Linked DNA regions of Callithrix jacchus. Each later gene encodes a partner of the first gene's protein in a complex. Links are inferred from orthologs where the notes say so. Each region holds a gene or a part of one and is shown in the gene's direction. Other genes may lie near its edges.

Evidence for each region. Proteins that work in one complex are often made in the same cells at the same time.
Region 2: BANP (region 1) and IRF2BP2 share a complex: the UniProt entries of both Homo sapiens proteins name them as parts of the corepressor complex. The link is inferred for Callithrix jacchus from reciprocal best matches to the Homo sapiens genes BANP and IRF2BP2.
Region 3: BANP (region 1) and IRF2BP1 share a complex: the UniProt entries of both Homo sapiens proteins name them as parts of the corepressor complex. The link is inferred for Callithrix jacchus from reciprocal best matches to the Homo sapiens genes BANP and IRF2BP1.

Annotation. Positions count from the first base shown.
Region 1 is NC_133521.1:45,581,505-45,585,444, forward strand, and holds the start of BANP (protein BANP), read left to right. Parts: upstream 1-1,131; 5' UTR 1,132-1,215; exon of another isoform or gene 1,216-2,603; intron 2,604-3,940. UniProt on the Homo sapiens protein: Controls V(D)J recombination during T-cell development by repressing T-cell receptor (TCR) beta enhancer function. Binds to scaffold/matrix attachment region beta (S/MARbeta), an ATC-rich DNA sequence located upstream of the TCR beta enhancer.
Region 2 is NC_133520.1:50,621,496-50,625,442, forward strand, and holds the start of IRF2BP2 (interferon regulatory factor 2-binding protein 2), read left to right. Parts: upstream 1-1,141; 5' UTR 1,142-1,819; coding exon 1,820-2,867; intron 2,868-3,451; coding exon 3,452-3,947. UniProt on the Homo sapiens protein: Acts as a transcriptional corepressor in a IRF2-dependent manner; this repression is not mediated by histone deacetylase activities. Represses the NFAT1-dependent transactivation of NFAT-responsive promoters.
Region 3 is NC_133523.1:40,034,188-40,038,156, reverse strand, and holds IRF2BP1 (interferon regulatory factor 2-binding protein 1), read left to right. Parts: upstream 1-1,163; 5' UTR 1,164-1,528; coding exon 1,529-3,283; 3' UTR 3,284-3,671; downstream 3,672-3,969. UniProt on the Homo sapiens protein: Acts as a transcriptional corepressor in a IRF2-dependent manner; this repression is not mediated by histone deacetylase activities. May act as an E3 ligase towards JDP2, enhancing its polyubiquitination. Represses ATF2-dependent transcriptional activation.

The DNA of each region.
Region 1 (3,940 bases):
TGACATTTCCAGGAATTGCCCTATACTTTGGGAATTTTTTCCTAGGATTACCACAAATGCACATTTGCACATTTATTCTACATAAAATATAACGTGTGCACATTCGATGCCATCCTTTTTTTTTTTTTTTTTTTTTTTTGAGACGGAGTCTCACTCTGTCGCCCAGGCTGGAGTACAACGGCAAGATTTCGGCTCACTGCAATCTTTGCCTCCTGGGCTCAAGTGATTCTCCTGCGTAAGTCTCCCAAGTAGCTGGAATTACAGGACTGCGCCACCACATCTAGGTAATTTTTGTAATTTTAGTAGAGACGGGTTTTCACCATGTTGGCGAGGCTGGTCTCGAACCGGTGACCTCCAGTGATCAGCCCGCCTTGGCCTCCCAAAGTGCTAGGATTACCGGCGTGACCACGGCGCCTGGCCGCCATCACTTAGGCATGTGTTTCATGTAGGAAATGTCTAAGACCATAATCACTACTGTGTGTGCTACCCCCCCGCGCGCGCGTGAACTCAGGCCCCTCTGGACGGACAATGGGGACCCCTGACCACTTACATCTTTGGAAACACGCCTCCCAGCGCTCCGGAACCTCAGGGCAGGACTCGTCGCAGCAGCAAGTAGGACCCGCTGGGGGCGCACAGCCCACCTGAATCATTGTAACTACAAGTCCCAGCAGCCCCTGGTGCGGGGACTGGACGCCGCGACCGGAGTCCGGAGAGACTACAAGTCCCGGCAGGCAGGGTCCAGACGAAGGCACTACGAGTCCCAGAATGCATCGCTCCTAGCTTGCGCAGGGAACCCTGGGAGATGTAGTCGTTGAGGAAGCTAATGCCTATTCATTCCATCTCAAAGAAGATGCAAATTCTTCAGACAGTCCACTGAGATGAGTTTTCTCAGGCAGGCCAGGCGCGTGGGCGAAAAACGGGGGGAAAAAAGCCCTGGGAAGCCGATACCGTCGCGGGAGAAGCCAGCCTGCGCATGCTCACCGGGAGGCCGAGCGGGAAAAGTGCGCGTAGTGGGCCTCGCCGCCCGCACGCCCCGCCCCGGCCCCGGCCCCACCCCCGGGCCTGCGCGCCCAGTGAGCCTGCGCGGAGGGCGGGGGCCGAGCGTCGCGGGGAGGGGCTCGCGGCGCCTGCGCAGAGCGGCGGCTTCTCTCGCGAGGACGGACGCCATTATCGCATCTCCCCGACAAACACCACGAGAATTCCGCAGCCCACACGGTAATTGCAGCTCCCGCAGCCGGTCGCGCCTCCGCCTCCCCCTTCCCGCGGGGCGAGAGCGAGAGCGAGATCTCCCTCCTCCCTCCTCCTCCTCCTCCTCCCCCTCCCGCCCGCCGGGCCGTCCGCGCCGCAGCCCCGCCGCCGCCAACTGTCTGGGCCGGGCGAGCGCCCCCAGCTCCTCGCTCCCCGTCCCTGGCCGCGCCCCGGAAGAGGGGCTCCCGCTTCCTCGCTTCCGCACCCCCTGCCCCGCCGCGCCCCGGCGTCCGTTGGGCCGCGGCTGCCGTAGCCCGGCCCGGGGGCCTCGAGCTCCCGATCTCTGCTCCGGGGCCGCGGCGGGGAGACTGGAAAGGCCTAGAACCGCGCCCGTGCTCCTCGGGGGACCGAGGTCTCCCTCGGGGGTGGCTCCTGCCAGCCAGCCGTGAGCGACGGGCACCGTTTCTGTGCCTCCTCCATGGCTGTGGACAGGAGCCCCAGTAGCCCAGGACTTGCACGCGGAAGCCTCCGGCGCGCAGCGAAACGGGCGATCTCAGGGCTGCCGCCGAGCTCGGCGAGGACCCCAGCCCGTTCCCGGGGGCCCCCTCCTCAGCGCCTGTGTGCGAGTTCTGTGGTGCAGCCCCTAAAAAGGGGGCCGTTTGTTTTTCCCTGGGGTGCAGAAAGTAGATGACGTTCCATCCCCACTGTGTGAGCGCACTGGAGACAGTGCCTTGCTGGAGGGGACTGTGGTTTTTCCCTGAGGACGTGGCAGGGCTTGTCTTGCTCTTGGGGAGATACATCAGCCCTGAAGAACTGTGAGCAGGTGCACGAGTGTGGGCTCTGAACGGTGGCGAGCTCGCACCCTCCCCGGGGAGGCCCGGGCCGCACAGTTGATGTGGAGCCGGTCATTCTCTGTTTGGAGTTGCCTGTCTGCCCGGGAATGTACTCCAGGGCCTGATGGCGTTGGCGGAACTTGCGCTGCAATAAATAACCGATAAGAGGAGGCAGTCTTAGGGTACACTTGTAGCTGGAAGTTCTTGGGGGACAGAAAAATAGCTCGGAGTAGTGAGTGGTTCTGAGGAAGATCAGAAAACATCAAATTAAAACTAGATCTGGTCATTTCGCCCGCAGCTCGCAAATACCCAGTGCTAGAAGAAAACACCGAAACGAGGTGAAACTGTATGTAGGTGCATTTCCCCTGCCTTGCAATTCAAATAAGAATATATTCATAAGCTGCAGCAAGTACCACTGGGCAGGGAGACCTCCACCCAGGCTGCGCTGGAGGCAGTGGGAAGACGCCCAGGTAGAAGAGCATCGAGGGTCTGGCGGGGCCCATAGCCTACGGAGCTGAGCCTCGGGGCTGACAGCATTCCAGGCTGAAGGCCCCCAGCAGGCTCCGATCCACATGTTAACAGGTGATTATTGTTAATAAACAGGTGTTCTGTATTTACTTACAACTCAAGAAATATTCCAGGTAGGCAGTTGTTACCCGCTTACCACTAACTGAAAGGTCCTCTCCACAAGGGAGCCACGGGGCCAGGGCAAACTTAATGTTTCTCAGCAATGTTGGATTCTGTGCTCACTGGTTTTAATGTTTTTATTTTCTGGAGGCAGGATTTTAACTGTCTGCCAGGCTGGAATGCAGTGTGGTGATCTTGGCTCACTGCAGCCTCAACCTCCCTGGCTCAAGTGATCCTCCCACCACAGCCTCCCAGGTAGCTGGGACCACAGGTGCCACCACACCTGGCTAATTTTTGTATAGTGGGGGGGGTTTCGCCTTGTTTCCCAGGCTGTGGCTTTAATCTTTAAAAAAAAAAGAGCTTCAGGCTGTGGGGGCAGCTCAACATCTTGCATCCTTCACCGTGACCCCCACTCCATAGATGAGGTGATGTGGCTGCAGATGCTGAGGGCATGTGTGCAGATGCACAGAGCCAGGGCTCCAGTTCAGTCTCTCTAAGCTGATGTTCTTAAAAAACACACCCCATCCATTCAGTGTTTTAATCAACATAGTGTATACAGCAGCCATGTCAGTGGAAGACTTACATGAAAAGCAGTGTCCCCTGCCCCACCTCCCAGCCCCATTCTTCAAAGCCTGGTTTCTTGAGGTCCTTCTCCATAGCTCTAAGTAAGCTGGTCTTTTCATTTGTTTTTGAGATAGGATCTCCCTGTGTTCCACAGACTCTACCCAGCCCTGGTGACCCTCAGCCTCCTTAGTAGTTGTTGCAGGCATGAGCTGCCACACCTGTTGCCCAGGGTGGGCTTTAACGTGCCCTTTAAGCTGATACTTTCTTTTTTTTTGAGATGGAGTTTCGCTCTTGTTACCCAGGCTGGAGCGCAATGGCGTGATCTCGGCTCACTGCAACCTCTGCCTCCTGGGTTCCGGCAATTCTGCCTCAGCCTCCTGAGTAGCTGGGATTACAGGCACGAGCCACCGTGCCCAGCTAAGTTTTTGTATTTTTAGAAGAGACGGGATTTCACCGTGTTGACCAGGATGGTCTCGATCTCTTGACCTCGTGATCCACCCATCTCGGCCTCCCAAAGTGCTGGGATTACAGGCTTGAGCCACCGCCCCTGGCCTAAGCTGATACTTTTTTTACTCAGCCTTGACTTTGTGTTATGATGGGTGACGGATCCCTTCTGTCACATGCCGCCTCCTCCATCTCATGTACCCTGTTTTCAGGGTAGGGTCAGGTCCCCTCCTTCTTCAGCCTCTCAGCTTTTTCTGTAACCTGCACACGAGCCAGCCTGATCA
Region 2 (3,947 bases), on another chromosome or scaffold:
GCCAACTGTGGCAGAGCTGCGGGCCGGGCGTCTGGGCTGAGCCCGGCCTAGGTGGCACATAGGGTGCAAGTCCGCCCCCGCCAGTGGCCCGCCCTCCGCGACGGCGAGCCAGCCAGCCGGTCGCCCCCACGGCCCGCGGGGACCCCGCAGAGACAAGCAGACCCCCGCCCCCCACGGCTCGCGCCCGCGCCTCCCGCCACACCGAATCCAAGTTCGGGCCCGGGGGCGGCGCCTTGAGGCCCAGACTTGCCAAAGGGGGTGGAGCCTCCGCCGTGACGCGGCGGCGCTGGCCGTAGACCCCGGATCCCTGGAATGTGCATTCGTTCCACGAGGCCCTAGTGCCAGCGGCGCCGAGGCACGTCTGCGCGGAGCGTGCGCACTTGCGGCGGCGGCCGTCCGCGGCCCCGCGCCCACGTCACGCGCCCGCCGCGCGGACCTACATAAGGCGGTCTGGGCCGCTGGCGCGGCGAGGACCCCGCTGAACAGGGCGGCTGGACTGGCTAAGAGTATCACTTGGTGTTCTCGAGCAGCTAATCAGAACCGCGCTCCCTCCGCTCGAGGGCTCCGTGGAAAACGCGCGAGCCAGCTGGCGGCGTGTGCACGCGGTGCTGGGCTTGGGAACGTCAGACTCTCCCCAGTTAGTAAAAGGGGCAGGCAGCGCGTGTGTCCTTCCCAAGACAAATGCAAATGCAAAGCACCAGTGACGGATTTCATGCTCATGCGTCCGACATTGAGCTTTCAAGTCTCACTCCTAAGAAACTGGGACTGTGAACCACGCTAGACTTAAAATCCCCCTTCTCTGGAGACTGACGAAAACCAAGTGACAAAGTGGCCTTGCATGAAAAAAAATTTAAAAATGACTTTTGGCATGGTTTGGCCCAGAGGCACACCAGGGGAAAACATCCTGAGGGTGGTCGAGACAGCCGGGTGGGGCGCGAAGTGAGGGAAGTGGAGGAAAAACGCAGGACCACTTAGCACGGCGTTCCGAAGGGAACACCGGCTCTGCGGCGCCCGGCTCTCCCGGCAGCGCTCCTTGGGCGCGCGGGGGGAGGGGGAGCACGCGCGCGCGGGAGGGCGGGCGCGCGCACGAGGGGAGGGGGCCCGCGCAGGCGCCGTGCGAGACTGTCGAAGAATCAAGTCTGTAGAAGTGGAGCGGCCGCGGCGCCAGCAGCAGCAGCGACGGTGGCAGCGGCGGAGCTGAGGCGGGCTGGCCGCTGACGCTGGCGCTGGAGAGCGGCGACGCCAGGAGCTGTGAGAGAGCGGCGGAGCGACCCCGGGCCCGCGCCGCGCCCGAGCTCCACGCCGCCCGGCCGCCGCCGCCCCGGCGCGGCATGCCCCGCCGCTCGGGCTGAGCCTGCCCCGGCGGCCGCCCCCCGCCCCCCGCCCCCCCGGCCTCCCCGCCCCCCGCCCCGCACTCCGTGCCGGCCGCCGTCGCGACCTGCTGCGCTCCCCCACGCCCGCGCGGCCCGTCTTCGCCCCGGTCTGGAGGCCCGCCGCGGCCCCGGCCGAGCCCCAGCCGCCTCGCCCGCCGCCCCGCCGCCCCGCGCCGCCCGCCCGTGCCCGCGCCGCCCGGGGGGACCTGCTGCCGCGGCTGCAGCCTCTCGCCCCGCGCCCGCCGCCCCTCGTGCACCGGGGGCGCTGCGCGGGCGCCGAGCCTTCGCGGGCTTTGCCGCCGCCGCCGCCTTTGCGGCCGCCGCCGCCGCTGGTGGGGGAGACGCGGGGTTGGGGGGGGAGGAGGGCGCGCGTGGTGCCGGTGGGGGGCGGCGGCGGCGCCCCCTCCTCCTCCTCCACCTTCTCCGGCGCGGCGGGCTCCTCGGACATGGCCGCGGCGGTGGCGGTGGCGGCCGCGTCCCGGCGGCAGTCGTGCTACCTGTGTGACCTGCCCCGCATGCCCTGGGCCATGATCTGGGACTTCACCGAACCCGTGTGCCGCGGCTGCGTCAACTACGAAGGCGCCGACCGCGTCGAGTTCGTCATCGAGACGGCGCGGCAGCTGAAGCGGGCGCACGGCTGCTTCCCGGAGGGTCGTTCCCCGCCCGGCACCGCGGCCCCGGCTGCCGCCAAGCCGCCGCCGCTCTCGGCCAAGGACATCCTTCTGCAGCAGCAGCAGCAGCTCGGCCACGGCGGCCCCGAGGCGGCCCCGCGCGCCCCGCAGGCCCTGGAGCGCTATCCTCTGGCGGCCGCGGCCGAGCGGCCCCCGCGCCTTGGCTCGGATTTCGGCGGCAGCCGTCCGGCGGCGAGCCTGGCCCAGCCGCCGACTCCGCAGCCGCCGCCTGTGAACGGCATACTGGTGCCCAATGGTTTCTCCAAGCTGGAGGAGCCGCCCGAGCTGAATCGCCAGAGCCCGAACCCGCGGCGCGGCCACGCGGTGCCGCCCACCCTGGTGCCGCTCATGAACGGCTCGGCCACGCCGCTGCCCACCGCGCTCGGCCTCAGCGGCCGCGCTGCCGCCTCCTTGGCCGCGGTGTCCGGAGCCGCGGCCGCCAGCCTGGGCTCTGCGCAGCCCGCCGACCTGGGCACCCACAAGCGGCCGGCCTCTGTGTCCAGCAGCGCAGCAGCGGAGCACGAGCAGCGCGAGGCGGCAGCCAAAGAGAAGCAACCGCCGCCGCCGGCCCACCGGGGCCCGGCCGACAGCCTGTCCACCGCGGCCGGGGCCGCCGAGCTGAGCGCTGAAGGTGCGGGCAAGAGCCGCGGCTCCGGAGAGCAGGACTGGGTCAATAGGCCCAAGACCGTGCGCGACACGCTGCTGGCGCTGCACCAGCACGGCCACTCGGGGCCCTTCGAGAGCAAGTTTAAGAAGGAGCCGGCCCTGACTGCAGGCAGGTTGTTGGGTTTCGAGGCCAACGGGGCCAACGGGTCTAAAGCAGGTAGGGGCGGCTGTGGAGTGAGGGGCTCTAGGGGAGAAAAGGGGACGGAGAGCAGAGGAGGGGTGGTTTTTTTCAAGTCACCATTTTGCCCCAGCCCAGAAACAACAAACACCCCACTTCCTGATCTGCCTGAGGCGGAACCAGTGCTTAGTGGCAACGTGTTCCTGTGCTGAAGCAGCATAACAGAGATGAGTCACACTGGGCTGATAGGCTCTGCCACGGGCTTTTCCTTTCCCAGCACATTCTTGGATGGGAGCATGAGGGCACCAGTCACCTTTTAACCTACTGGGGGACATTAGCGGTCACATGCCCAGTGCAAACCTTGTGCATGTGTAAAAACAGGCAGTTACAAGCATGCCGTTTTCGCTGGCTCCGTTTTACTAAATCAGTCGGCTGCCTCGGAACCCCATACGTCTAAAGGTTTTAAGTTGCATGTGCACTTGAAACTCGAATGAGTCTTTTCTGTCCGTGCTTTTAGAGAGGAGGAATTCTGAAACGAGTTCGCTTCTGGTCGGGAAGAGGGATTCTTTCCAGTGCGCCGTCGTTTATGTTTCCTTTCTCTTTTCTTGTCTTTGTGTTTCCAGTTGCAAGAACAGCAAGGAAAAGGAAGCCCTCTCCAGAACCAGAAGGTGAAGTCGGGCCCCCTAAGATCAATGGAGAGGCCCAGCCGTGGCTGTCCACATCCACAGAAGGGCTCAAGATCCCCATGACGCCTACATCCTCTTTTGTGTCTCCGCCGCCACCCACTGCCTCACCTCATTCCAACCGGACCACACCGCCTGAAGCGGCCCAGAATGGCCAGTCCCCCATGGCAGCCCTGATCTTAGTAGCAGACAATGCAGGGGGCAGTCATGCCTCAAAAGATGCCAACCAGGTTCACTCCACTACCCGGAGGAATAGCAACAGTCCGCCCTCTCCGTCCTCTATGAACCAAAGAAGGCTGGGCCCCAGAGAGGTGGGGGGCCAGGGAGCAGGCAACGCAGGAGGACTGGAGCCAGTGCACCCTGCCAGCCTCCCGGACTCCTCTCTGGCAGCCAGTGCCCCCCTGTGCTGCACCCTCTGCCACGAGCGGCTGGAGGA
Region 3 (3,969 bases), on another chromosome or scaffold:
CTGAAAACCAGGGTCAACTGGCACGTCAATTCAAATATTTTTAAGCACCTAACACGGACCCAGGCCTAGAAAGAGAAAGGGGCTGTTGTGGGTTAGAACCTGGAGACCCGCCTCCGCCCTTCCCCAAAGACAGCCTCGTCCCGTTCCCAAGGCCCGGGAAAGAAGACAGGAGGGTCCCCAAAGACTGATTGGGCCTCCCAGGTAGTGAGCGCTCAAGGTTGGGGAAAGGTGGTCGGGTATTTGCCCTTCCCCAGCAACTCCCTCCTCTTAGCCCCTTACTCTTCCCTCAAACTGGGGAGCAATAGAGGCTAAGGGTCCCGCAAACGCCATGCTCCGAAAGCACGCAAAGACCCCAGAAAGTTGGGGGTGGGGAGCGGGGGAGGTAGCGCGAATCTGGAAGGCCTCCCCCCAACCTCCCAGACGGCGGAAGTACGTCACTTTGTCCGCCCCGCGGCGCATTTTGGGAATTGTAGTGAAGCGGGTGGGGGGACGCCCAGCGGCCGATGGTGTAACCCTTTAGAGACCAGAGCGCGCGAGCAGAGCTAGGACAGGGTTAGAGGGCGCTCGGTCGCCCCCCTCCTTTAGCAAACTGAGGCAAAGCTCTGACTCAGGAGCCCTTAGTCCTCTCCCTCCTCTGGCTGTGGCGGGCCCCAGAGCCAGGGATTCCGGAGAAGGATGAAGTGCCAAGTGGCCACCTCCACCCCCTCCTAGTTGGCAGCTTCCTGTCCCTTCTCTGAAGCCAATCAGAGCTTCTCCGCCCCGCCCCAGAAGCTGCTGCCCTCCTAATTCGTCATTGGCCCACCTTTGCTGGGCGAGGAAACTGAGGCTCAGAGAGGGTAAGAAATTTTGCCTAAAGCTGCACCGCAAATCGAAACAGAAGTTGGAAGCCAGCAGCCTGTCCACCCACCCCCACAATTTCTGAACCCGGAGTAGCTCTGATCATTCGTATTTTGTCCTCGCCTCCCACCTTTGTGTCCCAGCTCCTCACGGCGTGCGGAACTCCGGCCCCGAGGCGAGGAGGAGTAAGGGTTGCGCGAGGAGAGGCGGCGACCCCCGCTGGCTGCCCGCCGTTCCCTTTAAGAGCAGGCCCCGGCGGGACTACGTTTCCCAGAAGGCTTTGCCGGCGCGTTATGTAACTTTCCCTGCGAAGCGGCCTCTGGGGCAGAAGGAGGTGGAGGTGGCGGCGGCCGTTGCAGCGGCGGCGGAGAGAGCGGCGGGAGCCCTAGGTGGCGGCGAGAGCAGCCCATCGTGGGACCCGAGCTGTGCGCCTCGGCTCGGAGCCCGGACCGGGCGAGGGCGCCGACGTGCCTCGGCCTGCCTTTGCGAGGGAGGCGGGAGTGAGCAAAAAGGCTTAAGGCCCAGGGGGCGGGGAAGGGGGGCCGGGCCTGGATCCGGCGGGGAGGCCGAGCCGGAGGCCGGACCGTGGCTAGCGCTGTCCCGGGGACGCGGATCGCACGGCGGCGGCGGCGCGAATCGCACGGCGGCGGCCGGTGGAACGCGGGGGCCGGGCGGCGCGCGGACTGGGGCCATGGCGTCTGTGCAGGCGTCCCGCCGCCAGTGGTGCTACCTGTGCGACCTGCCCAAGATGCCGTGGGCCATGGTGTGGGACTTCAGCGAGGCGGTGTGCCGCGGCTGCGTGAACTTCGAGGGCGCGGACCGCATCGAACTGCTCATCGATGCCGCCCGCCAGCTCAAGCGCAGCCACGTGCTTCCCGAAGGCCGCTCGCCCGGGCCCCCGGCCCTTAAGCACCCGGCCACCAAGGACCTGGCTGCGGCCGCCGCACAGGGGCCCCAGCTGCCGCCCCCGCAGGCCCAGCCCCAGCCATCAGGGACTAGCAGCGGCGTCTCAGGCCAGGACCGCTATGACAGGGCCACATCATCGGGCCGCCTCCCCCTGCCCTCGCCGGCCCTGGAATACACTCTGGGGTCCCGCCTGGCCAATGGGCTTGGCCGTGAGGAGGCTGTGGCAGAGGGGGCGCGAAGGGCCTTGCTTGGCTCCATGCCTGGCTTGATGCCCCCTGGGCTGCTAGCAGCTGCAGTGTCTGGCCTGGGAAGCAGAGGCCTGACGCTGGCACCCGGCTTGAGTCCTGCCCGGCCCCTCTTCAGCTCTGATTTCGAGAAAGAGAAGCAGCAGAGGAATGCGGACTGTCTGGCAGAACTGAACGAGGCCATGCGGGGCAGGGCAGAGGAATGGCACGGGCGCCCCAAAGCAGTGCGGGAACAGCTACTGGCGCTGTCCGCCTGCGCCCCGTTCAATGTGCGCTTCAAGAAGGATCACGGGCTGGTGGGGAGGGTGTTCGCCTTCGATGCTACTGCCCGTCCTCCAGGATACGAGTTCGAGTTGAAGCTCTTCACGGAATACCCCTGTGGTTCCGGCAATGTGTACGCAGGCGTCCTGGCGGTGGCTCGTCAGATGTTCCACGATGCTCTGCGGGAGCCGGGCAAGGCACTGGCCTCTTCGGGCTTCAAGTACCTCGAATATGAACGCCGGCATGGCTCAGGAGAATGGCGGCAGCTGGGTGAGCTACTGACCGACGGTGTCCGCAGCTTCCGCGAGCCAGCTCCCGCAGAGGCCCTTCCCCAGCAGTACCCAGAGACGGCCCCTGCGGCTCTTTGTGGCCCACCCCCGCGAGCCCCATCCCGGAACCTAGCGCCCACGCCGCGCCGTCGCAAAGCATCCCCCGAGCCTGAAGGCGAGGCGGCTGGAAAGATGACCACCGAGGAGCAGCAGCAACGACACTGGGTAGCACCTGGTGGCCCGTATTCCGCTGAGACCCCTGGTGTGCCCTCACCCATTGCCGCCCTGAAGAATGTGGCCGAGGCCCTGGGTCAATCACCCAAGGACCCTGGCGGAGGTGGGGGGCCTGTGCGTGCAGGGGGTGCCAGCCCTGCAGCCTCCTCCACGGCCCAGCCTCCAACCCAGCATCGCCTGGTTGCCCGCAACGGTGAAGCCGAAGTCAGTCCCACAGCGGGGGCCGAAGCTGTCAGCGGGGGTGGCGGCGGCACCGGGGCGACCCCTGGGGCCCCCCTGTGCTGTACCCTGTGCAGGGAGCGGCTGGAAGACACCCACTTCGTCCAGTGCCCCTCGGTGCCCGGACACAAGTTCTGCTTTCCCTGCTCGCGCGAGTTCATCAAGGCACAGGGCCCGGCTGGGGAGGTGTACTGCCCAAGCGGAGACAAATGCCCGCTGGTGGGTTCCTCCGTCCCCTGGGCCTTCATGCAGGGTGAGATCGCCACCATCCTTGCTGGAGACATCAAGGTTAAGAAAGAACGGGACCCGTAGGCCACCACTGCCTCCAGGCCACTGGCCACCACCCTCTGCCCCTTTGCCACCCACCGCTGCCGCGGATAAATTATTCCCTCCCCGACCTAGCCCAGTGCCACCCCTACCTGTGTACATACTCCCTTCCTCTGCACAGACGGGTCCCCTGGGGTAGATGCATTGTGGGTGGGGGGAGAAAGCTTGTGGTTCCTGTCCGAGGGGGTGTTTGGGGTCCCTTGGCCCCTCCAGTTTCCCTCTGTCCTCCTTGGCTTGGCTTTGCTGCTGCTTGTAGTTGGGGGAGAGGTGCCCCCTCCTCCTTGAGAAGGGACCTCCTGAAAACTCGCTCTTTATAAACCCTCTCCCGCCCCCTTCTGCTCCTTCAATAAACCGAAAGATGGGTTTTTTTTTCCTTCTTGGTCCCTTAGTTGTGTGAGATGCTGCGCCCCCTTTGGGACTGAAGTGGTCCTGCGAGGGACAGGACGTTGCGCGGTAGCCTCCAGGTGGCGCCCGGCACCCAGGCGGTCCCGCTGGCCGACCTTCAACGAGAGCGACCCACTGGTCACGTTTTAGCCATCGGCCCCTTTTCCAGATGAAAAAACTGAGGCTCAGAGAGGGGATAGCTCCTGCAGGGAGAGGCTCGGGAGTAGATTACCCTTCTGTAGCTGGCCTATCTCTGCCTGGAAGGTGGAGGACTGAGCGCCCACGTG